Linked DNA regions of Sus scrofa. The protein of the gene in region 1 binds, or shares a complex with, the protein of each later gene. Links are inferred from orthologs where the notes say so. Each region holds a gene or a part of one and is shown on either strand. Other genes may lie near its edges. The genes, in order: CALCR, RAMP1, GNB1 and RAMP3.

What was found.
Region 2: the proteins of CALCR (region 1) and RAMP1 are in contact, whole or in part, in a cryo-EM structure (PDB 9AUC), measured with the Homo sapiens proteins. The link is inferred for Sus scrofa from reciprocal best matches to the Homo sapiens genes CALCR and RAMP1. Residues at the interface, in NP_001158210.1 of Homo sapiens: Arg45, Lys46, Met49, Asp50, Gln52, Tyr53, Tyr56, Asp57, Met59, Gln60, Gln61, Thr75, Trp76, Asp77, Gly78, Asn124, Arg126, Phe235, Leu238, Ile242, Thr246, Val250, Ala251, Gln257, Arg258, Trp261, Tyr262, Leu265, Phe269, Ile276; in NP_005846.1 of Homo sapiens: Trp59, Ile63, Tyr66, Arg67, Ala70, Asp71, Phe83, Trp84, Pro85, Val89, Asp90, Phe93, Leu94, His97, Gly98, Phe101, Ser103, Arg109, Ala110, Val111, Arg112, Asp113, Pro114, Ile118, Leu119, Phe122, Ile123, Pro126, Ile127, Val129.
Region 3: the proteins of CALCR (region 1) and GNB1 are in contact, whole or in part, in a cryo-EM structure (PDB 8F0K), measured with the Homo sapiens proteins. The link is inferred for Sus scrofa from reciprocal best matches to the Homo sapiens genes CALCR and GNB1. Residues at the interface, in NP_001158210.1 of Homo sapiens: Arg174, Ser175, Arg404, Gln408; in NP_001269468.1 of Homo sapiens: Thr47, Arg52, Phe292, Ala309, Gly310, His311, Asp312, Trp339.
Region 4: the proteins of CALCR (region 1) and RAMP3 are in contact, whole or in part, in a cryo-EM structure (PDB 8F0K), measured with the Homo sapiens proteins. The link is inferred for Sus scrofa from reciprocal best matches to the Homo sapiens genes CALCR and RAMP3. Residues at the interface, in NP_001158210.1 of Homo sapiens: Arg45, Lys46, Met49, Asp50, Gln52, Tyr53, Lys54, Tyr56, Asp57, Met59, Gln60, Arg74, Thr75, Trp76, Asp77, Gly78, Asn124, Arg126, Phe235, Leu238, Ile242, Thr246, Gln257, Arg258, Trp261, Tyr262, Leu264, Leu265, Phe269, Ile276; in NP_005847.1 of Homo sapiens: Cys57, Leu59, Ile63, Tyr66, Glu67, Thr70, Tyr83, Trp84, Pro85, Gln90, Ile93, Thr94, His97, Arg98, Phe101, Ser102, Cys104, Val106, His110, Leu111, Glu112, Asp113, Pro114, Val118, Leu119, Leu122, Ile123, Pro126, Val127, Leu129.

The regions. Positions count from the first base shown.
Region 1 is NC_010451.4:73,293,952-73,300,719, reverse strand, and holds part of CALCR (calcitonin receptor precursor), read left to right. Parts: intron 1-352; coding exon 353-506; intron 507-4,348; coding exon 4,349-4,409; intron 4,410-4,488; coding exon 4,489-4,555; intron 4,556-6,768. UniProt on the Homo sapiens protein: G protein-coupled receptor activated by ligand peptides amylin (IAPP), calcitonin (CT/CALCA) and calcitonin gene-related peptide type 1 (CGRP1/CALCA).
Region 2 is NC_010457.5:137,488,142-137,495,412, forward strand, and holds the start of RAMP1 (receptor activity-modifying protein 1 precursor), read left to right. Parts: upstream 1-2,298; 5' UTR 2,299-2,314; coding exon 2,315-2,366; intron 2,367-7,271. UniProt on the Homo sapiens protein: Accessory protein that interacts with and modulates the function of G-protein coupled receptors including calcitonin gene-related peptide type 1 receptor (CALCRL) and calcitonin receptor (CALCR). Required for the transport of CALCRL to the plasma membrane.
Region 3 is NC_010448.4:63,875,853-63,882,620, forward strand, and holds part of GNB1 (guanine nucleotide-binding protein G(I)/G(S)/G(T) subunit beta-1), read right to left. Parts: intron 4,824-6,768; coding exon 4,760-4,823; intron 3,944-4,759; coding exon 3,781-3,943; intron 1-3,780. UniProt on the Homo sapiens protein: Guanine nucleotide-binding proteins (G proteins) are involved as a modulator or transducer in various transmembrane signaling systems.
Region 4 is NC_010460.4:50,340,930-50,348,237, reverse strand, and holds the start of RAMP3 (receptor activity-modifying protein 3), read left to right. Parts: upstream 1-3,492; 5' UTR 3,493-3,518; coding exon 3,519-3,614; intron 3,615-5,088; coding exon 5,089-5,203; intron 5,204-7,308. UniProt on the Homo sapiens protein: Accessory protein that interacts with and modulates the function of G-protein coupled receptors including calcitonin gene-related peptide type 1 receptor (CALCRL), calcitonin receptor (CALCR) and G-protein coupled estrogen receptor 1 (GPER1).

The DNA.
Region 1 (6,768 bases):
CGTTGGTCATAGAATAAAGGCCATAGAAGTCATGTGACAAGTTCTTGGATTCTGTCAAAAATGGGTCTCAGACACATGGCAGGAAAATAAACCTGTCTAGTCTATATAAGTCACCAGAATGTAACGAGAAAAGAACATTTGGGGGACTAGGCATCCATTACTCTGGTTGGCTGTTGGTTTATATGTAATATAATCTATGCACTATAACTCTGATTGATGCCATGTGTTGACAGATGCTTGAGGAAACTGCCTTTCAGGCTGAATGCAGATACTCTGGCTCATTTTCACACACACTCTGTTGCCAAACCCTTGCCAGTGTCTTCCACTGAGTATCTCCATTTCTTTCCAACAGCCGATCTGCAAGGTTCTGCACTTCTTCCACCAGTACATGATGTCATGCAATTATTTCTGGATGCTCTGCGAGGGGGTCTATCTTCACACTCTGATCGTGGTGTCCGTGTTCGCTGAGGGACAGCGCCTGTGGTGGTATCATGTCCTGGGCTGGGGTAGGTATTTTCCACAGTTGAGTTTTGAGCCATCTTTACCTCTGTCTGTATATTTACAATCTTCTTCTAGTCTTGGTCTCAGAGAAGAGTCGGGGCCCAGGTCCTTTGAGGAGAGAGGGGCACGGCTGCTGACAGGGGTTTAGTCTCTGTGAGAACTTGGTAGAAGTGTTTGACAAGTTCATACAGACTGTGCTGAGCATGAGGGTGAGTGTAGAGGAGGGGAATGTCTTCAGGAAACAAACCCAGCTAACAGATGCGAGAGAAAACATGCCCTGATTGAGAGACCATCTGATTAGACCCTCTTCAGTTTGGTTTATCACCTGTTTCTAGAGAAAAAAGAACCTCACATTTTGAATTATGTACCTAGCCTATCCTGGCCCCACTTCCCTTCCACAAGAATGTTCCTTCCTCATAGTCCATCAGCAGGATTCCTCAGTGAAAGTTCAGGAAGTGGAGTCCAGCTAGCAATTGATATAACCACATGGGCATCCAAATGGAACCTACCTGGCATTATAGTGCATGGCAATGGCTTTGAAAAGCTTATAGTAGGATTGTTTGAAATGTGGCTACTTCTGTACCAATTGAGTAAGTTAAGGTTCTTGAGGACTGTCTAGAATGCTCCCCTTCCCCTAGGGCTGCTAAAAGAACAGCTCCCAGTGGTGGAAGGGGAGCAGATAGATTATAGGGCAATGAGATGGGGGGAAGCTCTGGGTTAAAAACACATTCTGTGAAACTTCCATCTGGAAGGAAGACCCTGAGGGCTATTCCGCACTGTCTGCAGAGCTAAGGGCTGCCCTGACTAGGCACAGACAAGGTGACTCTTGGAGTGGAGGCTGTGGATTGCCTTCAACTAAGCCTGCCCTTTAATGAAGTATTTTGGGGAGCCCCTAAAAACATTGATAAGAGAGGCAGGCTTTCTTGAGAAGGGAGCGTAATCCATAAGCTGTCTAAATACATTACCCTTTGTAGTTAAACTTCTGCCTAACAGATACTGTTACCAACTGTATAGAAATGTTTCAGGGAAGTCTTATAAGCAGCGCAAAGTCTAATCCACCGGAGGGCCCGATGAAATCTTTGTTTTCTTAACACCCCTCCCTAGTGGGAGGAGATAGATTTTAACCAAATAACGTTACCCAAACCCTGTGGGATAGTCCTTTAATGGTAGGTCAAAGGGCAGATATTTGGGTTGCCTCAAAGTTGAACTGATGATGCTGTGGCTCTTTGGTTGCAAGTAACAGAGAATAAGATACTCTAATTTAATCAGAAAAAGAAATTATCAGACTCTAAGCGTATCTCATGGAAGTCAAGAGCCAGAATGCAGCTGGGCTATTATCCTGAGGCCAGATAAGCAGGAGCTCTCTCCCTCTGTCTTCTCTCCTTTTCTCTTAGGATCTGTTTTAATCCTTCACTTTCTCTGCAGACCACAGATCACAGGGTCTCTTCTTCCCCAGTACTAATGGAAAATACAGTCTACCCAAGGCTTCCTGATTTCACATTTTTATGTTCCAGGGACACAGAGAAACTAAACTTTTGTCATTAACTCCCAGTTCTGAATAGAAGTGCATGAGGATCTGATGGGTCCATGTCAAGTCAGGAGGCCAGCCATGGTTCAATGAACTATAGCCAAGGACACTGAGGGAGATGTTGTCACACAGCGCAAACATGTCTGGGGATGGCAACACATCCAGAAAAAGATAGAAGGGAGGTCTTTGTGACCTGGACAGGCCTCTAGACTACACCCCCAAACTGCCTCATCTTGTGTGCTGCCCCCCACCCCCAAGAGCTCAGCATCCTGGGGTTTTCTTTACCACCCATTTTAACCATCCAGTAAGGCTAGAAATCAAGCTTGTAATTGTCCTGGCTATCTCACGTCAGGTGCCAGAGAAGAAGAAATTTCTGCTGGATAACATCTTGATTGTCCTTTGGAAATTGTGTTCACACCAAAACAGTATGATAGGTCCTAAATTTTAGATCCAATGCCAGGAAATAAGGTGTAATTTGTGTTTTGAAAAGAGTTTGAAAGTGGGACAGCAGGAAGTTTGACCCAAGAAAACTGTGTCCTAAGACCTGACTTTGTTTGCTGGTAATGATTTCATCCATTCATTTCAGCTGTGATGAATAGTACCCACTCCATCCTAAAGAATTATAAGAGACATTATAACCATCACCCTTTGAGTGCAGCGTTTCTGGTAGTGAACTTGTCCCCAACAGGAAATGTTTCTTTCAGTTGTCTCTTTCCTTACAAGTCTGTACCAGACCACTTACTGGTCAATTTTGCTCAAATAGAAGCAACTTCAAATACTGAAGTTTAGTTCTCAGGAAAAAAAAAATCATTTATTTTACAACCCTCTTCAGATTGATTCCTATCCTTGCTGGGTTTTCCCCTTGTTACAAATCAAAGAAGGAAATTCCCCCCATGGACTTTTATAATGAACAAATAGAATTTATCTAGTGCCCCTGAAGAAGGTTCCTAGCAGAGAGGATTATTCTTACATCTCACCCTCTTTAGTGGGAGGGAAAGGTTGTTACGGCTCTTGAAGCCTGGAGGGAGAAGAGGCAAAGGAAAGAAAAACTGCATAAAAAGAGGCATAGTGACCAGATGAAGGTGAAACAGCCCTGGGAATTAGTGGATACCAGTCTTTATTGCCCTACATTAAGTAAGACACACGTTTTCTTTTCTACCATATGATGAGGTGGAAGTAAGACAGCCATAGTGCTTCTCTTGCTGGCTAATTCTAAAATGTGTATTTCAGGATACATCAGAGAGTGAATTTCTGATTCTAAACCTGAGTGGGAAAATGGTATGTTAGAATGGCTATGAATGAAACACAATTATGTTTTGTGTACACAGTCAAATTCAAAATTCTTTCAAGTCAAACATTTAATCAATGATATGCTTCATGGGTTAAGAAGCTGAGGTTGTTCTTAGGTGAAAGCTCTGGTTGTTCTCTTTTGGCATATAATTCACAGAAAATAAAGATGTGTAGCTCTAATTCACTTCTGAGACATTTCTAAATCTGATAATTTTTAAAACCCTTTCTACAAATATCTCAACCAAATCAAACAATATTCTCCTGTGCATGGGTACATCTAAGAAAAAGATAATCTTTTTTTTTTTTTCCCCACAAAAATTACAACTTTACTTTAGATTACTTTTATAGAATGAAGATTGATTTTTAAAAGAGTCAGCCTGACAGGATGCATTGCCAGCAGCTGTCTTCATTGCTCCTTTTATAAATTCAAAGTTGTTTTTGACTGGCCCTTAAAGTTTCTTCAGGGAAGTAGATAGTGAGCTGCTTTAATAAAGGTCCTGCAGCCATTACAGAAGCTAGGGTGTGTACTAGCTACTCTGAACTGTTCTTTGTGAAAGAAAAGAGGATCAATGCACATGATAAAAATAGGAAAACAAAAATCCTAGAATACCATGAGCATCGAGTCTTTGGAGTAGTCAGACCATGGCTTTTCATAGTCAGGCCACTTCCCTCCTGGACAACTGTAGCTCCCGTCTATTCCCACACAGGAAAAAGCTCTGTGGTCTTAGTTAAACCATCATTATCATCACAGATGTAACAATGGTATTCTAATGAAGCAAGAGTGATAGTGTTCCTGCCAGATTAGATGATTTGGGAAAAAGGTTTTTGATAATCCGCATACTCTTAACCAAACTCTCTGAAAGAACATGATGTTCTAAGAGCACCTTTGATCTGGTTTGACCAAAAATGATTTGCACAAAAACATCAGAGCAATATAGACAAGATGTTAAATGTGCCACTATTCTTGAAAGTAAACTACCATTTTCCATACGGCTGTATAACTAGCTTTTCTACCTTTTCACATTGTAGGGTTCCCGCTGATTCCAACTACTGCTCATGCCATTACTAGGGCAGTGTTGTTCAATGACAAGTAAGTATTGTGGGGTGTAGTTAACATGTTTGTAAATAAATTGCAATTGTATTAATATCTTCCCTCCTCTCATTTTCAGCTGCTGGCTGAGTGTGGACACCAACCTGCTTTACATCATCCACGGCCCTGTCATGGCAGCACTGGTGGTGAGAATTGCCTTTTCAATCAACAGTGTTGTCTCTGTGGAGTTTTCTGTGAGGATGGTTCTATGTAGCATACATATTGTAACTTCAAAATGAGGATAATTTAATGATCATCTGTAATAAGAGCAATTTGATCTGAGAGTCCTTTTAAAAAATAGTTTTTATTTAATGTAATTGTGTGGAGGGAGCATAAGCCCATTTCTGTACAAGCCATACAAACAATATAGGTTTCTGGGTTGCTTTAAAAAAAAAAATTCTATAACTAAATTCTCTGATTTAAAGGTAAAGACCAAAGACAAAGATGTTGCTGATAAGAAAGTGGAGACCACAGAGTCCTCCTGCACTAAATTCCCCTGGGCTCTGGCAAACTAAACCACCTTCCATTTCACCTTTGGTCCATGAGCCATCACCATAACAACTACTAATCATGCACTTAAAGTATTTCAGGCACTTCACATACACTGCCATGCTGTTCCTAACAGCAGCCCTTCTTGTTATATCAAGATGTTTTATTCATTAGGAACACTAGACCCACAGATTCAAGTTAAGTCACTCAAAATCACATGACTAGTAAGAAGTTGGGCCAGGAGAAAACAAGACCGTCTGAATTTATATCCAAGCTCTTTATTTATACCCATGGTTTACTATATGTTGGCCACATCAGAACCATCAAATTTAATATAGACATTATTTCCTCATTAATTTCAAACCCTGTGTTTGCTTCAGATAAAGGTAAGAAAAATAAAAACGGTCAAAGGCATAGACCATATTCTGCTCCTGCACTGAAGAAGTATGCATTAGTAACTGATCACCCACACTGTCTTCTAATTTTCCTGGCCTTTGAAAGCAAATTCAATTTCTTTCAGTGCTTTTCAGAGTAGTGACGTACTTACTAAGTGTTCAAGTATGATCACAAGGACCTACTAACGTGGGTCTTGAATATTTATACAACACCCCATAAGAATTCAGTTTTCATTAAAGGTCCCTATCCTTTCTTGAATTTTTGGGGGAGCAACATTTATTTCTATTCCAGGTGGGAAAGTCATTCTAATTTTTAAATAAATAATCAATTAAATTTTTAAAACAACCTTGGTTTCAAAATTAGTCTACATAGCCAAAAGTAGTTTGTAATCCACCAGAATGGCTGATATTAAAAAGAGTAATCATACCAAGTGCTGGCAATAGTAAAGAGCAACTGGAATTCTCACAGAATGCTAGAGGGAATGTAACATGAAGCCACCTCTTTGGAAAACAGTTTGACAGTTTCATAAAAAGTTATACATATGTTACTATAGGAACAGGCAGTTCTAATCCTAGGTACTTATTCAAATGAAATGGAAACAAATGCCCACACAAAGACTTGTATCCAAGCATTCATAGCAGGTTTTTTCCTAATAGTCAAATTTTGGAAACCATTCCAATTTCCACAAACCAGAGAATGAATAAAAAAATTATATGTGTTTTTCATTTTCTGTCTTTTTTAGGGCTGCACCTGCAGCATATAGAGGTTCCCAGGCTAGGGGTCTAATTGGAGCTGTAGCCGCCGGCCTATGCCAGAGCCACAGCAACGCAGGATCCGAGCCACGTCTGCAACCCGCACCACAGCTAACGGCAACACCAGCTCCTTAACCCACTGAGCTAGGCCAGGGATGGAACCCGCAACCTCATGGTTCCTAGTCAGATTCGCTAACCACTGAACCACGACGGGAACTCCAGTGTGTTTTATTCACACAATGCAATACTACTCAGCAGTAAAAATGAATGAAATGCCAATATACATAACATGAATGAATCTCAAAGATAGTATGTTAAGCCAAAGAAACCAGACACAACAAAATACACACTATGTATTATTCCATTTCTGTGGTAATAGAAATCAGCAGTTACTTGAGGTAGGGCGAGGGAGTTGTTGACAGTAGAGGAGCAAGAAGGGACTTTCTGGGGTGATGGAAATGCTCTTTTCTTATTTGGAGTGGTTGTTACACAGGTACATACATTTTGTCTAAACTTCCCAAATGTAAACTTAAAATCTCCATTGTATTGAATGTATATTATACCTCAAATTATTTCCTTTTAAAAGTTGTTATTAAAAATGACGTCTGGGTCAGCTGTGACCACTGCATACACTTTACAGATAAATGTTTCAGTCCTCATTTTACTTTCAATTAAGTTGTCCTGGGCTAAGGAGGAAATCTTTGTAATGAAAAGACAAAGTA
Region 2 (7,271 bases), on another chromosome or scaffold:
AGAGGGATGCGTTTGCATGCTACCAGCTGGAAATACAAATTCATTGGACAGAATCTAGCCAGGGCAAAACGGTCAACTCAGGTTATGTGTCGTGGCTGTAAGGACATGTGATAATGGGTCTGTCTCTCTTTCTCCCTTTGCAGAAGGGAAAACCCATAGTAATTACTGGGGCCTCTCTCATCCAGACCCAAGGCGCAGATAGGAAAACCACTGGGGGAGAGGGTGCATGCTGTGGACACCAACTCTGGCGTCCCCAAGAGAAGTGTGAACTTCCGAAGTCTGTGAACTTGAGAAATAGGCTTTTTGCTCCGTCTGCATATCTGTTAGGTGTGTGTGCGGAGCTAGAAGGCAGAGGACTTCTGCTGCCCAAGCCCTGCCTCCTGCTGCCCTTGAGCCTCGAAGAGAGAATGTTGCAAACAGTGGTGCAGGTGTAGGAGTCCCGTGCCCTGAGCAGTAAGAGGGGGCTCAGCTATAAGAAGACGCGGAGAGGCCCACACGCCAAGGCTGGAAAGGGTGGCTCCAAGGGGCCAGTGGAGGCTGGGTCTGAGAGGAGCAGAGATGCCTGCCCTCCCCCTCACTGGTGCCCAGGTGGCAGTGGACCTGTCCTGGGGTTGGGCTGGGGCCCCACTCATCTCCCCCAGCCGTGCCTTTCCCACCTGGCATGGTCCCCGGTCACTGGCCCTTTACTCTGGCCTGCTGCGCTCCCATGCTCTCTTCCCACCCAGCCCTCAAGACGTCCTGCGCTGCAGCTCAGCTGCGTACCAGGCCCCTGCGTGTGACTGAGACCTTCGCAGGTTCTTCACTAGATGCACCAGCCGCAGGGCGAGACCTGCGTCCTTTACCTGGCACAGCTTTGCACATGGCCGGGACTCAAATGTCTCTTAATATTTAAGTGAGGGAGGCCGGGCCACCCATGGGGGTGTATCTTCCTAAGGTTCAGCAAGAGGGGCCACTCAAGAGAGCCTGTGCCCCCTCCCATCTGACACAGACCCCTCTGGCCACCTGGGAGTCTGAGTCAGATGCCACTCAGGTTGTAGGCCTGCCAGCCTTGAGCGCCCTCCCTCCTGTTCTCTGAGCTGACAGCAGGTGGCCCTCTTCCCCCTCGTTTAGCAGGGAACGGCTGACCACGGAATCCAGAATCCGGCACTAGGCACCCTGCTGAGTCCAAGTGATGTGACCATGGCTGTCGGGGTAGCGACCTCCTCCTCCAAAGGCAGCGCCTGATTGCTTAGCATGAGCATAGATGTACCAGTGGTTCAGCATTCTCCCTGGAATAGGCTGGTTGTAGGTCTCAGACTCGGCCCAGGTCTGGCCTGTTGCTGTGGCTGTGGTGCAGGCCGGCGGCTACAGCTCTGATTTAGTCCTTAGCCTGGGAACTTCCATATGTGGCAGGTGTGGCCCTAAAATAAAAATCAAAAAACAAAAACAGAAGGCAGTACTGCAAGGCCAAACCCAGCCACTAGTAGAGCTTAGAGAGCCCAGGTCAGCTTGGCTCCCGGGCTGACGCCTCCCGAGTTTATGCCTCAGGTCCGACCCAGGCTGGGGAGGCCTGCTTAGGCTTCCCAGGGCCCTGGTGCGTGCGTCCCCCCAGGGAGCCCCGAGTCAGAACGACATCCAAGGCTCTCCCAGCCTCCTGCCTCTCACCACCCATCACCCTACGCAGGAGGTCCCCCAAAGAGCCCTCCGCCCTCCAGCCCCAGGAGCTTCGCTGTGCACCTTCCAGGCACCTCCGCCGCTGCGCCCACACCCACCCTCATCCTCGGGCTCCTCACTGGCCCTGCGGCCTTTGAACACCGTGAGCCCCTGCGAGCGCCGGGGCTGGTTTTGTCCTCTCAGGACCCCAGGACCTGCACGTCGGGAGAAGCAGAGGGGCAAGGGTGGCCTCGGCCTTTTGCCAAGCAGGCCCCCGCGGCCGGAGTGGGCTCTTGGACCTAAGGAGAGGGGGATGCTGCCCGGGCTGACAGCGAGAGGCCGGGTCTGGGAGACCCGCCGCTTCCGGAGCATCCACTCGTCGCTTCCCGGGGGGGGGGAAGGGTCCCGGAGACGCCACGCGCAGCCCCCTCGTCGCCGCGCTGTCAGGGCTCCTCGCCGAGGGTCGGGCCGCCTCCAGGCCTCGGCCCCCGCCCCCGCGCCCCGCCGGCAGGTGCGGGCGCGCCTGGCTTCCCCGCGGTCCGCGCTCCCTGCCGCTCCCGCCCCGCCCCGCCCCGCCCCCGCCCCCGCGGGGCCGCCGCCTCCTGCCGCCGCCCGGCGGGCTCAGTCCTCGGCGGGGCGCGCGGCGGGCGGACTGGGCGGACTGGGCTCGGCTGCGCGCGCCATGGCCCGGGGCCTGCGCGGCCTCCCGCGGCGCGGCCTCTGGCTGCTGCTGGGTGAGTAGCGGGGTCCCCGCCGCCCCGGGGCCGCGGGCGGGGGCCGGGCGGGCGCCTCCCCGGGGCCAAGGGGCAGCCGAGGAGGCACCGCGGGATCGGGGTTCTGCGGGGCGCCGGCCGCTTCCCCGCCCCGCACGCCGGGGGCGCAGGCTCTGAGCCTGGGGGCAGGCACCTTGCAGATTCAGGATGTCGCCTTCGGCACCACGGGCCGTTTATCTAGAAGGTTATAGCTAAAACTGAACCTCTGACTGTCACATGCAGACGTTGCTGATGTGCAAATAAGCCCCCTTTGCAGGTGTCCTTTGCAAAAGGAGGCCAGCTGTCCTCTTCGGGGACATTTGGACAGCTTTTGCTTGTTTGCTTGCTTGTCAACTGGCGCTTCTGGCTACTCGAAATTCAAGGAGGGACTCTCGGTGGGGTAGCAGGACGTGCTGGGCTTTCTGCTTTGAGGCAGATCATAGACGGAAACCCAGTAGTGACAGGAACGGGTCCCGCCTTAGAAAAATTAGAGAAATTGTCATCTTCACTTCCCTGTCCTCGGTGTTTTCATAAAGAGCTAATCAGCCTTCCTAAACTGCTTTAACTATCGGTTGAATTTCATGTATTTACTTACCTTTTAATAAAAGTGAAAGAGGTTATTTAAAGTGGAAGAATCCAGGGGCCCTGGGAAGCCCCCCCCACCCCAGGCATTGGTGGCACTTGGGTCCTTGCTTCAGAGCAGGTGATGGTGGCCAGAAGCACCTGCTGCACGGGTCCCCTGGGTGCAGGGGGGCCACCACACTTGGAGCTGCAGGAGAAGTGGCTCAAGGGGCCTGTGGCCTGTCTGGGAAGAGAGGGGCTGCGGATGGGATGCCTGGGAGCCCTGCAATTCCCGTCTCGACCGGGAGTGTTGTTGGCTCTGCAGAAACCCGTAGCATCTGCCTCAATAGCCTATAATCGGAACGCTGTTTTGGCTAACGCTGTGTGAAAAGCACAATCTTAGAATAATATTATTCTGTTCTTTTGCATTGGGAATCTATGGGCTTGACGTGAAACTTATTGTTTTAGTTTCCTAAGACGTGAACATTTCTATTTGCAAGTTGGAGGGCTGGGTTGGGTCATTTTTAAACATAAATAAATAAATGCCCTTCCCTGATGTCCAGGAGCTGCACCCTCCGTAGCTTGTCTAAATAAAACCCTGTATCATAAGCGCATATAAAAACCTTCCTTGTTGACCAAGAAAATGGCAACATGTTCGGTGGAAGTTCAGAGTCCTGTGATCTTACCAGTATTCTGAGAGGTCTGGCTAAGTTCTGTCTTGGAAACATAAACTTTATGAGGTTATCAGTGAAGTAGTGTCGTTCGAGCCCAGCAGTAATTAGGATTTCAAGAGCACACAGTTTTCTTTCCGAGGGTTGGCATTAACCAAATCTCCTTGGTGATGAAGATTTTGCTGCCCAGAGGAGCAAGGTGGAATTTCTTGTTTTTCAGCAACCAGAAAAAAAGCGGCATTTCCAGAGGATCCAGGGCTAGTCTCTGAGAACCTCATTGTAAGCTTCTGTTTTTATGAGCCCGCCTGCACTCAGGAGTCCTGGCTGAGCCCGTCTTATAGGAACTCAGCTGGCATCTTTCCTGGCATGAAGGGGAGAGGGACGTTTCTTTGCAAGGCTACTGCATTTATTGAAATACATGGCTTTATATAAATACAGGGTTAACTTTTTGGAACCGACTGGGACATGGCAAGAAATGCAACAGATGCAACTCTCTTTTGGATTGTCATGCCGTTTTAAGTCTAGAGGCAGTTCGAATCCTGGAGTCCACATCTGAAGGATTCTCCTTTGCTAATCAGCTCGGTGTGTTCCTCTACCCTCTTTCTGTGTATTTAGCTGCAGGGAGACATTTCCGGATTATCTTCCTTGCACAGGTGCCTGCCCGTCAGCCCCAGGCCAGGGTTGTTTACGTCCGCATCGGAAGTGGTGGCAGCAACATGTCAAGCTGGACTCCTTCCTTTCTAAGGCAAATAGCCAGCTGGGAAAGTCTGTTCCTCCTGATTTTCTTCCCCCAGAATGAAGCGGCGCCCCAGCTTCTACTCATTTAGAAGTGGTGTCAGCAGAGGGGTGTGGGCGCCCCGTGTGGCATAAATCCCAGCAGAGATGCTGAGCCCCCAGTGGTGGAGCCCTGAGAGATTGGCAGCCAGCATCCCTCTCCTTGGGGCACAGAGCCTTCCTTTCCTGGTCCACCTGGCAGGTGGGCTCCCGCCTCTGTGCGCCCTGGCCCAGGCCTGCCTGCTCAGGGCAGGGCGGGAACCCAGGCTGGGCCGGCTGCTTTCTGCTGGAGCCTTGGGGGGAAGCCAACTCTTTCCTCTCAGCCGGCTGGATCTGAGTGTTGGGCTGCCAGATCCCATCCTGTGCCCCCGGGCTGAGTTCTCCTGACGCTTCCCAGCGCTTGGGTTGACCCCAAGAGGTGGACCTTTCAACCCTGTGACCCTGTGGTGTCTGAACCAGGTGTGTCTCTTTGCAGGACAGTGCCTGGTGGGGGGCAGATCTGGTGCCAGTGGGAACCTGCCCAAGAGCCTCTTTTGCTCCTGGGGACTCAGGGAAGACCTGGGGCGGGAGGTGCTGCGGCCGCTGGGAAGGGAGAGGAGCGGAGACGGGCCGGGGCGGCGGCTGTGGCCTCCTGCACCTGTGCTGGCCCTGGGCCCACCTTGCTGTCCAGCGTGCTCCTGGCTGATGGAGACGGACGCGAAGCGAATGGGTCCTGCCCTCCCCACACATGGACACACACGGACACACAAGCACGGAGCCCCCGGAGGGATGTCCCCCCCCCCCCCCCGCCTGCCCCGCCGTGCCTCTCCCCCCCAGGATGCTGGCCTTGGGCTGGGGACGTTTCTAGAGAACTCGTTTGTTCTTAGCCAGGAGGCTCCCAACCTCAACAAGAACTTATCCTTTGTAATATAAGGACGTTCTTGTCCACGGGGAAACTTTTTCCTCCTCAGATTGCTTGAGTTTAGTGTTTTCTCTGACATCCAAAGACACCGCTTCAGTCCCCCGTTGGAACACAGACTCTAAGCAGCTTCGTTGGTGCCGAGTCCACGGCCGGGCAGCGGGGGAGCGAGGGGCCCTGGGTCTGAGCATCACACCGCAGCCAGGCCTTCCCTGCTTGCCCCTCATCAGGCCTCGCGGCATCTCCTTTGTGTCCCCAGTGGCCACACCCGCCCTCCCAGGTGGCACTCCTGCCCACGCTTCTGTGGGACTGGAGACCAGAGAGCCCAGCCGAACCCCCCTCCACCAGCCCACGGCCACTCTGCCCTCTGCCTGCGGTCCTGGTGCCCAGGCCCCGTGCAGGCAGCACCCCCTACAAGCCCTCCGGATAACTACATGGCCTCCAGGAAGCCGTTTGGGACCCCCCCCCCAGCCACCTCCCCCGGGGCAGGTCACCCTCCTCTGTGCCCCTCATCCCTCCACACGGGCAGTGCCACCCTGTGTGCCTCGGTTGCACCCAGGCCAGCACACCTCGAGGCCCCTCCCGTGGGCATCTCCTGCCTTCGCTGAGGCTTTGCTGGAAACCAAGGGGCCCAGGAGCAGAGGGACCCAGGCCAGCGCCCCGCTGTGCTCCCCAGGGCTCTGCGCCCCCACACCCAAGGGGCGCACGGGGGAGGGCTCTGAGCCAGGCCTCACCTGGGGGCAAGGGACAGCAATTTACCCAGCAAACGATGGATGTAACGCCTGCCACGGTGGCACGTACTCTGGCCAGTTAGCGACTGGAACGAAAGCAGTTCATGTGTCACATAGCAAACCCCACGTTATGGGAAGAGGCGTGAAAGGCATAGTCAGTGAGCAGAAACCTGGTGACGCCCCAGGTTGGTGCTCTCTGCTGGTGCCTTCAATGCATCTAGAAGATTCCATGGATGCGTTTGTGAGAGGAGGGCTGGCGGCAGGCTGGCTGGATGAGCAGATACGGGAGCACTGGGGAAGCGCTCACTCTTTCTCCCTGATACATAGCACGAGTGGGTCTTGTGGCCCTGGAATCGGGGTTCTAGAAGGTAGAGTCCAGGGGTGCTGCCCACACCTGCTGCTGGAGGCTGCCCCGTGCAGCCCCCACGCGATAAGGGTCCAGCACAAACCGCCCATGGAGCCAAGGCTGAGGAGCCCGCCCCGGGGGAGCCACACGCATGAAGTGTGCTCTTTAGGCAGAAGGAACTAAGAGGGCCTTAATCAGGGCAGCGAGGGCCCTGATTTCGAGCCCCAAGGAGTTGGGAAGAGCGCTCCAGAGCACAGCAACACTTAGGCACACAGGTCTTGGTCCTTGGAACTTTCTGGAAGCTTTTGGGACAGAAGCCTGAGGGGGAGGAGGGCTTTGAGCCACAGCTGGTGCTGGAGGAGGGCCTGACCCTCTGGGCCAAGGGAACCAGCTCCAGTTTCACCGCAGGGGCAGCTCGGGACCTGAAGGGCATTAAACGTGCTGGTGAGACGGAACACGTGCTGTGAGGAGCCCCGGGCCGCTGCGCAGGAGGCCAGGCGCGGGAGCCGGGCGTGCGGGCCAGGGCGGAGGACTGAGCTGGAGGGGGTGGAGGGCTCCAGAGAGTTCCAGGTGCGGACGGCGGGCTTGGGTGTGAGAGCTCGGAAGAATCGGGGCCAGCCAGGCACCCGGCAGGCAGGGACCGGGGAGCTGGGGCTTCCAGGAAATCACAGGACCCCTGGTCAAATTCAGGGTCGGATAAACGACACACTGTCTTCGTCTCAAGCAGGGTCTGGGACAGACTTATATCAACAAATTTTTCTGTTAGTCTGACATTCACATTGAACTGGGCACCCTGTGTGTTTACTGCGAAAGCTGTGGCCCCTCCACAGCAGCCACGTCGGGTGACACGTCCCCTTGGATCCTCAGGGGTGACGGCAGGTGTCCACACACGTCCAGGGCACAGAA
Region 3 (6,768 bases), on another chromosome or scaffold:
GGTGGTTCCTGAAGCCCCCGGGGTCATGAGGTCGGCTCCTGGCTGGGTTCCCACAGGGGGCAGCACGTCCTGCCCCGGGAAGCAACCTTCTCACAGCAACAACCACGAGCTGGGCACCAACGGGAGGCCAAGTGCCAAAGCGCTGGAAGCAGACAGCCTGAAAGAAGCCTGTACGCGGAAGCCAAGAAAGGCACTGGGGGGGTCTTTTTCTGGGGCAGGGCCCACCTGTGGCAACCGGCCACCACAGGGCCACACTCACAAGTCAGGCCTGTGGCCCCAGCTTCTTGAAGAGCCAGGAAAGAGGCCTCTGGGCAAGCACAGCGAGAAAGTGAAAGAAGAAACCTCGAAAGGCAAAAGCCACAGGAGGCCCTAAAAACCACACAGCTGACTGCCCACATATCTGTCTAAAGCACTCGGTCAAGACAGCAGGGCCACTGGCCTGGCTGCCGCCTGGCGGGACAAAGCGCCGCTTCTTCAGGAGCCTGCCCGGCACCCGGCTCACCAAGTCCGGGATTCCCATTCCAAAGTCCTAGATGTTGGAGTTCCCGTCGTGGCACAGTGGTTAACGAATCCGACTAGGAACCATGAGGTTGCGGGTTCAATCCCTGGCCTCATTCAGTGGGTTAAGGATCCGGCGTTGCCGTGAGCTGTGCTGTAGGTTGCAGATGCGCTCGGATCCTGCGTTGCCGGTGGCTACAGCTCCGATTCCACCCCTAGCCTGGCCACGGGAGCGGCCCTGGAAAAGACAAAAAAAAAAGGAAGAAGAAGAATCGACGTTTCCAGATAAAGGGGACAGAGGGCCCACTGCAAGCAGATGTGCAGCCACGATGAGGACTGGGGGCCCCCAAAGGAAAGCTCGTGCCTTCGGGAGGAGAAGGGTGCACACGAGGAGTGCTCGAGGTCCGAGGAAGTGCAAAAGCCTGGGCACATTTCTTCAGGAGCTGAGACGCTTTCAGAAAATAACAGTATGTTGTGAGAGCTTTAAACACACATAGATGCAAGAGCTATGAAAACCTCGTCAAGAATGAGGAAGGGCAGAAAATGGGCATTTACGGCAGCACAGGGGTTGCATCTTATGTAAATAGATACTATGTTACCTCCAAGTGCACCGTGAGAAGGGTACGGATGTACAGGGCAATCCCCACATAAGCCACGAAAAACCACTGCCAGAAGGTAACCCAAACAATCCAAGAGAGAAAACTAAATTTCGACACCATCAGGCAACCCGAGAGGCGGCAGGAAAGGAGAGCACGTCACAGGTGAGGGAGCTAAACCCACTGTCCCCACACGGTGGGGAGCAGAAACGAACCCACACACTTGCAGGGCAGAGGCACTGAGAATGGATAAACAGCAGGAGCCAACTGTATGCTGTCTCTAAGGGACGCTACTTCTAACTACAGTTAAGCTGAAAGGAAACAGACGGGAAAGAGGAAACTGTGCAGGCACTAAGCATAAGAAGGCTGCAGCGGCCACAAGAACATCAGGTAAAGCCAGCTTCCAGCAGAGGTTCCACACTGCGGAGAAAGGGTCAGCGCCTCCGGAAGACACGACAGCCAACGCGCACACACGCGTGCACTCACAGAGCTCAAAACACACGAGGCACGGATTCCCAGAACTGAGGGAGAAAGGGAGAACGCCATATCCTCAGGGACCTTAACCGCCCCGCCTTAGCAACTGACAGAAATAAAACGAAGCCAGAGAAGACCCCAGCGGCAAATCCTGACGACCACGCTGAGAACCTGCCCGGCAGCCTGGCTCCTGCATGCGGCCTGTGGCTGTCGGACCACTTGCTCCCCCGAAAGGAAGTCCCCAGGTAGGTTAAAGACACGTGCTCCAAACAGGAGGCACTTAGTTAGAAATCAGTAGCAAGTTACCTATGAAAACTTCAGCTACCTGAAAATTAAGCAACACTTAAATGACCAAAAGGGATTAGGAATGTTTCACACTGAGTGATAATAACATGGCTAAAGCCACACTTGGAGGACAATTTATAGCTTTGAGCACATGCATCTGAAAAAGAAGGACGGCCCAAGGCCTTCTAAAAACCTAGAAAATTACAAAGAAGTGACCGTAGAGTAAGCAGAAGGCAGGAAATAATGTGAGACAGAAGTCATGAAATACAGTCTACCTTTAAAAGGACAAAGGACAGATTTTTTTTTTAGGGGCCACACCTGCAGCATACGGAGGTTCCCGGGCTGGGGGTTGAATTGGCCCTGTAGCTGCCAGCCTACACCAGAGCCACAGCAACGAGGGATCCAAGCTGCATCTGTGAGCTGCACCACAGCTCCCGGCAATGCCAGATCCTTAACCGTCTGAGCGAGGCCAGGGACTGAACTCACGTCCTCATGGACACTACTCAGGTTTGTTACCGTTGAGCTGCGACGGGAACGCCTAGACTTTTCTTCCCCTCCTTTTTTTGGCCACACTTGCAGCACGTGGAGTTCCTGGGCCAGGGATCAGATCCGAGCCACAGCCGTGACCCACACTGCAGCTGCAGCTGCAGCCACGCTGGCCAGTGGTCAAGGCCGCGTCCCAGCGATCCCGCCGCACCGCAGCAGGACCTCCAGGGCAGACTCTTTCACTGGTGAAGACGAGCTGAAGAGACCACCTGTCGGGGCCAAAAGCACTGCTAACGAGATGACCCTCGGGAGCGTGCGGCGCGCAGGAGCCCAGCAGGGGTAATAATCTGAACTGAGAGCACAGCCACAGAAGCAAAGTATCAGAGACCTGCTTTTTTCAGAAAGCCTACATCTTTTGTGACTGACAGTAACTAAACAGGGACGCCCGGTGGAATGACAGCCCCGGGCCGAGCTGACGCTGTCCACAGGCGTCAGTCCCGGGCTCTCTCCCGAGTCCTTGGGGGGAGGAGGTCTCACATGATCACAAGGACGGAGGCTCCGTCGCGGCTCAGCAGGAAGAACCCGACTGGTCTCCATGAGGACGCAGGTTCCATCCCTGTCCCCGCTCAGTGAGATCCCCGTCCCCACTGCCGTGAGCTGTGAGGTAGGTCGCAGATGTGGCTGGGATCCTGCATGGCTGTGGCTGTAGCTGTGGCGGAGACCCCTAGCCTGGGAACCTCCATATGCTGAGGGTGTGGCCCTTCAAAAAAAAGACCACGAGTTCCCGTCGTGGTGCAGTGGTTAACAAATCCGACTAGGAACCATGAGGTTTCGGGTTCGGTCCCTGGCCTTGCTCAGTGGGTTAAGGATCCGGTACTGCCATGAGCCGTGGTGTAGGTCACAGATGCGGCTCGGATCCTGCACTGCTGAGGCTCTGGTGAAGGCCAGCGGCTACAGCTCCGATTCGACCCCTAGCCTGGGAACCTCCATATGCCGCGGGAGCGGCCCTAGAAAAGGCAAAAAGACCAAAAAAAAAAATCAGTAAGGATGTTTGTGGATAGATGTGTGCATGTGTGTACACGTGTGTTTAGGTTAGGAAATTCTCGTGGAACGGGACTCAAGATGCGAGCCGGTTTAGGACGAGAGGACAGAGGGAACTACACTTTGTGAGCAGGGAGACACGGGGCTCCCAGCGCCCGAGGGTGCCCTAAGTCCCCGGGATCCTTGGAAAGCACATGCTACGGCCACTTCAATTCAAAGGCTTCTCACAGGTCAAGGTGCACCGAGGCCTGCCTTGGACTCCCTCTTTCACACTGTTTCTGGCTGTTACTGGGACCAATCTCACTGAACGCTTGGCGAGAAGAGGCGAGTGCCCGAGGCGCCTGACCATGCCCGCGCACCCCGTGTCCACAGCCTGGAGGCCGGGGACGAGCACACGCACCTGTGTGTCCGGCCAGCTCCCGACTCACACGCACGTTCCCTTCGCGAGTTTTCAGATTGTAAATGGAGCAGATGTTATCCAGGCCACCGCAGGCCACGTAGTTCCCAGAAGGCGCATACGCGCACGTCATGACCCACGAGGAGCGCAGAGGGATGGCGTGGACCTAGATGACAGAAGACACACGATGCGGGCACGCGCAAGGTCACACACCCCCAGTCATTCACAGCTGACACTAGGACTCTGCTGCTGGTCTTCAACTGTCATCGCATAGCAGGTGACCCAGCAAAACTGGCCAAAATTATTCTGAGACTAATTTATACGTGTGGCCAGTCAGATAACGTAGTAACTGAAGCAGAAATGCAGTGAGCACCACTTCCGTCTACCGTTTTGTGAAAGTCACAGCATACAATTCGGCAGGCTCTTAAGTAAGAGTGGCACAGCCTCCAAATCAAAACTCGAGAGTAAACGGAAAACATTTCACGGGCCTGTCAAACTGTCGCAAAATTCACTTACAAAATGAAGTCTTTTGTATTGAAGTAATCGAGCTAGATGTTATTGTAATTGATCCTGTGCTTGAGACAGGTGCTGCAAGTGCTGGAATCTCCTCGGGTATTCTCCAGTAAGATACCACCGCATTGTATCTGTTACACATGTTTAGACCAACGGCGGTCCTTTTTTCACTCAGTGTGATACAATCTTGGGCTAAATCTTTTAAAGAATTTAATTTACACGTCGAAATGTCTTTCAGGTTACTTCCTGAAACACTGGTAACCAGAGACAAAGCTCCGTTTTGTATGTCCAACTAAAACGCAGACCTTCCCGGCTTGAGCTAAAACTGGAATCCAGGCTCCCTCCACCTGCCCCGTGCGGCTGCCACAGGACCTTTGGGACTCGACACCACAGCGGCGCTGGCGGGCCCGCCGCGTCCTGTGCAGCGAGCCCGGGGCTGCCTCTGCAGGCAGGGGTGCGGCCGGCCTACCTTGTTGGTGGTGTAGCTGTCCCAGATGATCAGCTTCCCGTCCTGTGAGGCACTGACGAGAAGCCTGCGGGAGAGAGACGAGAGCACGCGTGTCAGCACCGCAGCACGGAAGCCACGCAGAGCCAAGGGGAGACTGAACGTGGGGTGACTGACACGCGCATCACCTGGACAGCTGCTCGAGACAGAGCACGCTTAGTTGTAAGGGAAAGAAGGTACAGTTGTCAGGCCAATGTCGAAAGCATTTAGAAGTAAATGTGCCCACTGACCCTAGTGAGATTCAAAGCCTGCTTCTCTGCTGGCAGCACCCAGGCCGCTTGCTCAGAAAAGACAAGCTGACTTCCCGCACCTGCTTCCGTTCCGTTTCTCTTCACCATCAATCAGGTCTGAGCCCCAGAGGTCTTTCATGAGCCAATGGTAGTATAAAAGACTTAGTCTATAGCTTTCTGTCCCATTCTGACACACAGAAAGCCTAAGAAAAAGGACTAATATGTTTTCAGATACTCAAACCTTGCGACAATCCTCACACACATGCACAAAACAACAACCCCAGGACAGTGTCCCAAACTGAAGTGAACCTGGGACCCAGGCCCGCTAGAAACAGCAAGGAGGCACCCTCTCCACCTAAAGCTTTCCAGAGACGACAAAGTGAAGCGCGACTGTGCCGGGTCCAGAGAGACCAGGAACTATTGTGTTTCTCATGCCATTTTCTTGCTCTGGTCAATGGTCCTACGTTTGAGATCTGTGTGTTGAAAAGGTGCCATCCGTATTTACAGGATTAAGCAGGAAACCGCCAAAGGAAAGCCTGACAAACGGGCAAAGGAATTTCAAGTGGGAGTACATCCTGAAGAGCACAGCTACTCAGGACAGCCCAAGAACCTCTGTTCTCCAGACCGCGGTTGGCGAGCACCCGCAGGAAGGCTCCCCGTGACCCCAGGCAGAGGGGTCAGCACAGTAAACAAGAAAGACAGCGCTGGCTTCGGAGAGCTCACCCACCCACACACCAGGGTCAGCCCTCTCGGCCACGAGCACATCTGGCGTCCCGAACCGATGGAGACCTGGAGGAAAATCACCTGACTCTCTGGCAACCCCCACTTTTCCTCCACTTGGTTCTGCCGCTTGCAGCACGGAGGCTGCTTAGGGCTGAAAATGCTTTAGCGTGGCCTATTCTGAAACTCGTCACAGAACTAAAGGAAGGCTCCAATCCTGCTGCTTTTGGACGCGGATTCTCGCGTCGAGGTTCGGTTGTAAACACATCCGGCACGTCGAAGGTGCCTGCGGCCTCGCATCGGGCTCACTCTGCGGCTCTGCACTGCTCGGCGTGGCTGCAGCGGCACGTCAGAGCCCCGTGGAGAAGCTCATCCTTGGGAGGGTCACCTCTGCGGGATCGCCTGGGCAGAAAGCTTAATATCTGCTGACTCGACCAGGGGCTAGAGGGTGTTAAGCAGCCCCCCTTGATCCTTCAGAAGGTGAGAGAAGACACGCCGCTTAATCCCAGGCAGGGCGACGTTGGGAGAACTGGGTTCCTTCTGCCTCCCAGAGCCTTCGGCTATCCCGAAGCACCTACCACCATCCGAACCCAGTGCTGAGAGCCAGGAACGAAGCCTTGGGCTCCCGGGAGCCTTGAGCAGAGGTCCAGGCGCGAAGGCCTCAAGTCCCTCACTCGCCCAGAGGACAGAGGCTTTCAAGCTCCTGGGTTAGCTGTGATTTGCTCTCGATTATAACACTCCAGTAAGACTTTAAAAGGGGGAGACATGGAGTTCCCCTTGGGAGTGCTGGGATGCCGGCTCCATCCCCAGCCTGGTATAGTGAGTGGGTGAAGGATCTGGTGTTGCCACAGCTGTGGCTTAGGTTGCAACTGAGGCCAGGATCTGATCCCTGGCCTGGGAGCTCCATATGCTGTGGAGCAGCCAAAAAAGAAGAATTAAAATTTAAAAAAAATTAACAGGGGAGACAAAGTTTAACATGAACTCACATACCCGAGAGAGGCTCTCGAATGCCATACAAAGGAG
Region 4 (7,308 bases), on another chromosome or scaffold:
CTGTAGGCACTGCCACAGCCACAGCCACACTAATGCCAGATATGATCCCACTGCACCACAGGGGGAACTCCAAGACTTTTTTTTTTTTTTTTTTTGTCTTTTTGCGTTTTCTTGAGCCACTCCCATGGCATATGGAGGTTCCCAGGTTAGGGGTCTAATCAGAGCTGTAGCCACCGGCCTACGCCAGAGCCACAGCGACGTGGGATCCGAGCCGCGTCTGTGACTCACACCACAGCTCACGGCAACACCAGATCCTTAACCCACTGAGCAAGGGCAGGGATCAAACCCGCAACCTCATGGTTCCTAGTCGGATTTGTTAACCACTGCGCCATGACGGGAACTCCTCCCCAAAACATTTTCTGATAGGTTTGACAAAAATGGAATTAAACGAAAGGAAGCTTGCTTTGTTCACTTACAGAGGATGCGGACGGCAAAGTAGAGCTAAGCAGAAGGTGGTGTGTCACACAGTGGAATAGTGTTCAGCCTCAGGAAGGAGGGGAACTTCTGACACTGCAAAACGAGGAGCCTGGAAGAGGTGATGCTAAGTGACATAGCCGGTCACAAAAGGGCAGACGTGAGTTCACTTATGGGGTCCCCAATGGTCAGATTCATAGAGACACTTCATGGGTGCCAGAGGCTGTGGGAGGGGGCAAGGGGGAGTTGGTGTTTCATGGGGGCAGGGTTTGGGAAGGTGAAAGTTCTGGAGATGGATGGTGGTCATGGCTGCACAACATACAAGTTTGCTCAATGCCGCTGAACGCTACACGGACAAGTGGATAGGAAGGTAAATTTTATGATGTGTGTTTTACTACAGCAGCAGCAGCAACAACAACAGCAGCAACAACCACACACAGAGGGTTGAGCCCTGGGGCTCTGGGAAACCAGAGTGTCAGAGGATCTCCTTCCTGCCTACGGTGTAGACAGATCGCTGCCACTTCAAATGCGGGTGTCACTTTCTCTGCTTCACTGAGGATGGAGACGCAATGTTTCACCGCTAGGGGGCGCCAAGTACCGATGCGCCTGCCCTGCTCCTCGGGCCTCTCCAGTCAAGTCTCCCAAGGTCTAGGGCTTTGCAGGGAAACCTCCAGAGAGGGCCCTCCCTGAGCCTGGCTCGGCTCCTCTCCTGCTGGCTCCTGGGCGAGATGCGTGGGGCTGAGATGGCCCGCGTTTCTCTGATCGCATTTGCTCACAAGCCCTCCACTTAGAAGTGCCTTTATTTAATTATTTATTTATTTATTTATTTATTTTGGCTGCACAGGCCACATGTGGAAGCTCCCAGGCCAGGGATTGAACTTGTACCACAGCGGTGATCCAAGCTGTTGCAGTGGAGGGTTAACCGCTGAGCTACAGGAGAACTTTACTGTTGAGAGAACTTACTCTTAAAACCATTACAAGAAAGAGAAATGACCGAATAAATATAACACTGTGTCAGTCAGGGCTGGTCAGGAGAGGGAAGCTATGCAGTAATTGGCACAGGAGAGGCTGATACAGAGAACTGGGAAGGGAGACGGGACGGTCTACGTGGGGAGACAGGACACAGCTGTAGGGGCACCCGGTCAGCAGACTCCTGGGGGCCACATCTTTGGGGGAGTACATCAGGGGCCAGGTGCTGCCTTGGTGTATCATACATGTAAGTGGAACTGAGCCTCCGAATGTCACAGGTGAGAAGACCCAGGTGCAGGGGTAGCTGCCTTCTCGCTGGGTCTCAGACTCTGGGGTCCAGCTGTATAGGTGGAAAGCAGCCCCCACTCCGTGCTGCCCTCTGGGTGGCACTGACTGTCAGGTCACCGGCAGGCTAGCAACACCACTCAGGCTCATTCCTGAGGGCTTGGCTTGCTCCAGGGAGCCTGGGCCCTCCAGGAGCCACACAGGAAGTGCCTGTCTTAGGGGCTCTTGTGCCCATCCAGTGCCTGGGTTTCCCAGAGGACCTGGCACATGTCCCAGGAGCCTGCAGAGGCCCCTCCTCAATCAACATATCTGCTCTTTTTCCATCCGGTGGCCTGCGGCCAGACAGGAGTGAGGAGAGGACCCTCTAGGCCTGCTAGAGAAGATGGCGTCTGATAACCATGTCTTCCCACCTGTTCAGGTGATGGGGCTGCAAGGAGGAGTCAGATGAGGCTGCTGGGCTTTTCTGAGCCAGCTGCGGCCATCTGGGTCCTCCTCGACTCCACCTCCATCTCCACTCGTGCCACCTCTACTGTACCATCTCCGCGTCAACCACCAACTCCACCTCCACCACCATCTCCACCTTCACCACCTCCACTTCCATCACTCTGTCCATCATCTCTACCTCTGCCACCTCCACCATCTCCGCCTCCACCAGCAACTCCACCTCCACCACCATCTCCACCATGTCCACCAACTCCACCTCCACCACCATCTCCACCTTCACCACCTCCACTTCCATCACTCTGTCCATCATCTCTACCTCTGCCACCTCCACCATCTCCGCCTCCACCAGCAACTCCACCTCCACCACCATCTCCACCATGTCCACCAACTCCACCTCCACCACCATCTCCACCATGTCCACCAACTCCACTTCCACCACCATCTCCATCTCCATCATCTCTACCTCCACCAGCAACTCCACCTCTACCGCATCCACTACCATCTTCATCATCCCCACCTCTATCACCTCTGCCTCCACCGGTACCATCTCTGCCTCAATCACCAGCTCCACATCCACCTCCACCACCATTTTCACGGTCTCCACCATCTCCACCTCTGCCACTTCCAACCTGCATCTCCACCTGAACCATCTCTACCTCAACCATCACCTCCACCTCCACCACCACCTCCACTTCCATAATTTCCATCTCTATCCCGCTGTGGGCTCAGCACAGGCTCCTTTGTCCTCACCTCTGTCCTGAGAATGGGGCAGGGATGTTATTCTCTCCAGCTTCAGATGGAAAATGCTAGGCTCCTTGAGGGTCTTGTGTTTTGGATATAATGGAGCCTGGCTGGGTCTATGTCTGTGCATCTTCCCTTCTCACAAAAACCACCTGCACCAGCAGTCATTTGCTCTGTGGGGGCACAGGGGAGAGGAGCTAGAGCCTTGCTTCTCATGGACTCCTTCTAACAGGGGCAATGGGGCAGCCTGTGGGCCCTGGGAAGTTTGCTGTGGGAGACCGAGGAGCTGCATGGAGGTGGGGGTGCAGGGAATGAACCTGCAGGGACATCAGAGCCAGGATGGGGGAGGGGAGGGCATCCTGGAAAGAGGAGAAACTTTATCCAGCGCTGCCTCCCAGGGTGCTCATTCCCAAGTACTGGTGGTGTGCGGAGCACGGCCCCAGGGGGCAGACTTCAGGGTGCTGTCTGGTCTGGCCCCCTCTGATGACCCACCCTCCTGTCCCAGCCTGCTTGTGTGCAACCATCTGTGGGGTCTGGCCTCACCTCTCCTGTGGAGTGGTGTGGGCCTCCGTGATCCTGTGGCCTCCTGGGACACTGGTGACATCTGAACTTGCTCTTGGTTTGTCTCTCTTGGTGCAGGGCATCTGAGAAGGGTGGCTGGCAGGATGCACGGATGGAGCCTGCAGCCCCTGCCAGGCCTGGGTCACAGGAGGTTCTGGGTCATTCCTGCATCTGTGCTCCCCACCACCTTGGGCAGGCTGGTTGGTCAATTTTAATTAGCTTTAATTCCTCCTTGAAATAATTCTGGTTCTTAGCAGAATAAGCGCAGAAATCCCTTATTAAGTGGGCTTCCTAATGCAGGAAAGGTCAGCAGGGCTTATGCGAGGCAGCTGTTCAGCAACGCCTGCGCTAGAATCCTCCCACACCCCCGGCCTTCCAGGCCGGGTTAATTCCTGCCTCCCCCACTCAGAGAGGCGGAGGCCCTGGCCAGGTGGGGATCCCTCCTGCTCATCCCTCTGACTTGGGATGGATGCTCCGGCTAAGAGCAGTCAACCCCTGAGGGGGTCCTACCTTCCCAGCCCTGCTCCCTGAGCCCTCAGACCAGCATGTCTCTGAGCACTGCAGGGCAGAAGGGTTTCCACCCCACCAGGTGACAAAGTGCCCAGATGTCCATGGGGGCCAGGGTCTGTGCTAGGGGATGAGTGACAGAGGCGACCAAACCAGGCTACGTGACCCATGGTAGGAGAATCCTGAGTCCCTCCTCCCTCCCCTCAGAGCCCATGACACTTCTTTAGGTCAGGTCATTAGGGACACCCAGTCATGCTCCAGGCCCTCTTTTGTCCCCCGAGGCCTTCAGAAAGCACAGAGCAAGCACCAGGGCTTGAGGACCCGGGCCATGGGCAGTGGTGTGTGTGCAAGTGTAGGTGTGTGCACCTGTCTGTGCCCCATCCCCTCTGGTCCGGAGGGTGCAAAGGCTCCAGCGCAGGGAGGCCCCCAGCAAGGATTGGGGCCCACGGGAACTCTAGAGTCAGTCACGATTCACCATGAGGGTTCCTCGCGGCACACAGGGACTCCCCCACTCCCAGCTAGCTCCCTCCTCAGGGGGGCTCCCTCTCCGCACCCCCTCCCCCCTTCCCAGTCTCTCTTGTCCCCCCGCGCTGCACAGCACCCCCTCTCCAGACACCTCCCCGAGCCCTTCTGCGGGCTGGGGTAAGGGTGGGTGCACCTGCCGGATCCCGTCTGCTCCTTGCCAGGCTGCCCACCCCTCTCCGGTCCCCCTGCCCCGCCGGACGCCGAGGCCCCACAAGCGCGAACTTGGCATGGGCCTTGCCCCTGGAGCAGGAGGAGGGGGCTTGCCCCGGGGAGGGGGTGCCTCCTGGGGGAAGGACTGCCCTGTGGGGGAGGACATGTCTTGGGGGGTCAGGCGTATCCTAGGGGAGGAAGCGTCCTGCGGGGGAGCGTATCTCGGAGGAGCACGACCCGACGGAGGGCCCCTGGGAGGCTGAGGCGGGGGGAGGCGTGCATCCTCGTTGTGGGAGCGCGTCCTGGGGTGGGAGCGCGTCCTGGGGTGGGAGCGCGTCCTGGGGTGGGAGCGCGTCCTGGGGTGGGAGCCCCTCCCGGGGGCAAAGCACCTCCTGGGGGCGGGCTCTCTGCGGCCCCACCCCCCCGCCTGAGCTCCGCCTCCGGGAGCCCCTAGCGCCCCCAGCGGGGACGCAGCTGTATCGCTTGCCGCAGCTGGACTGCTCCCGCCGCAGCTGGACGGCGCGCCACAGCTGGCTAGCCATGGAGGCGACAGCGCCGCGGCGCCGGCACCTTCTTCCGCTGCTGCTGCTGCTGCTACTGCTCTGCGGTAAGAAGATGCTGGGTCGGGCACGGGGGCGCCCCAACCTCCTCGGGGGCCACGGGGACCCGCTCGGCCTTCGTCCTCCCGCACCCGCACCTGGCTGCACCTCCTCCCCTGAGCCCACCAGGGCGAGCCCCGTGCGTCCTGCTCCGGAGGGGCGAGGGGTGACTCGGGGCTCTGTCCCCAGGCTCCTCTCGAGCTGATGGCGACGGATCAGACTAGGACGGAAGGCGCGGGGTCTCCCTCGGGCTCTGCATCGCCAGTGAGCTGGGCCTGGGCCTGTTGCTCCCAGCTGCGATGTCCCCCTCGTTGCTGCCCGGGGGCTAGGGTCGCCACGGCAGCGCGACCTCCTATAGCGGGCGTGCCCATCTCTCCCCCTGTGAGGCAGTGCATTCCTTGTCCTGAGCTCGTGCGTGCGCGCCATGCACGGGGGTGTGGAGGAGAGGAATCCAGCACCGGGAGGCCTGGACCTTCCCTGCGGTGCCTGTCCGCTTCCAGGACGGTCCTTCAGTGTAAATGTGTGTGCGTGTGTCTGGCTGGAGGGGGCAGGGGGCAGCCTTCTGAGGTTTTACCTCCCAGACCCCTTCTAAGCTAGAAAACACCACTCCTGGGGGGAGGCATGGCTCACAAATAGGGAATGGATTGAATGAAAAGCTTGCTTTGCAAAATCGTTCTAAAGAAATCATCTAAGAACAAGTGACAGGGTCTGGGCGCTTGGGGAGGGCTTCCTTGGGCGAGACGAGGTGAGGCTGGGTTGCAGAGCAGGGTCTGAGCCTGGGCGGCTCTGGGAGGGGAAGCAGGTGGGTCCGGCGGGGTGGGGGTGGGGGATCCCTGGCTTGGTGGCCAGGAATCCCAGGCCCTGTCTTGGGGAGGGCACTGTCCCCTAGGTCCTTTGGGATGCTCCCTTGCCCTCACTGGCCTCTCTGACTGTAAGATGCACAACTGGGCTTGTTTGCAGTATCACTGTCAGCTTTGACCATCTGGCATTTGGAAAAGGCTGCATCAGCTCACTGACATCTTGAATTCTAGGTTACCTTTCCAGAAGGTGTCTGGGGGGAAGAAGGTGTGACTTCATTTCATATTCCGGTGTTAGAGCCCTAGGGTCAGCTGGATTTTTGGGTTGAAGGCAAGGGTGATGGGTGATTCCAGAAAGCAGGAGCACACTGAGGCAGGATCTGTGACCTTCGAATGCAAAGCCCTTGGAGGAGGAATCTTCTGATTGGTTTCGAGGGAAGCTAAGGCTGTCCTCACAGGGCAAGGACCAAGACAGAAATCTCTCTTAATAACCTCGGGCCACGTTGGCACAGTTCTGGAGGCCACCTCATCTTGTCTCCATCCCAGTATCCCCCTCCCTTGGAGCCAGGATGGGGCCAGGCCAGCTTCTCAGCAGACATCAATCCAGTGCTTGCCTGGTCAGAGTGAGGGCCCCAAGAGCTGGCTCGGAATGAGTGAGGGAGATGCAGGCAGGTCACATGCTGCTTTGTCATGGGGGAGATGGGGGCCACATCAGCCCTGGAAGCTGCTGCCTCTAGAAGGAGGATCCAGGGCTGCTGGCTGCCTATGCTCTGGATCCTGACACCCTGCTTGTCCCTGAGCTGCCTCTGGGCTGTGTAAAGTGGGGGAATCTGGTCTGGGGTAGTGTGGTCCAGCAGCAGTCTGCTCAGCTGGGCTCTGCCTCTGAGCTTCTATGTGTGTTCCCACCCAGAGCTGGAACTGAAAAGGTTTAGCTGCTCATTGCTCAAAAGTCAATGTTCTAGAGACAAGGGTTGGTGGGGTCGGGGGGAAGAGGCTTTATTCAGGAAGCTGGCAACCTAGGAAGATTGCAAACTAGCGTCCTCCCCAAACCATCTCTGAGTTGCCAATCAGAGGGCAAGAGCTTTTAAAGGAAAACTTCAAGGATATGCAGCTAGGGGGCTACGTGCAGAGCAGCACTGCTCAAAATGGAGCAGCTTATGTCATGGCTGCAGTCTGATCATCACGCAGTTAGATTTTTCCCTCTGGTGGTGGTTTTAACAGCTGCAAAACAACTCAGGAATGTGCATCACACACCGGACCTTGCTATCTATGTTCTTCAGAGAGGAACTAAAGATTCTGGAAGCACTAAATGGCTG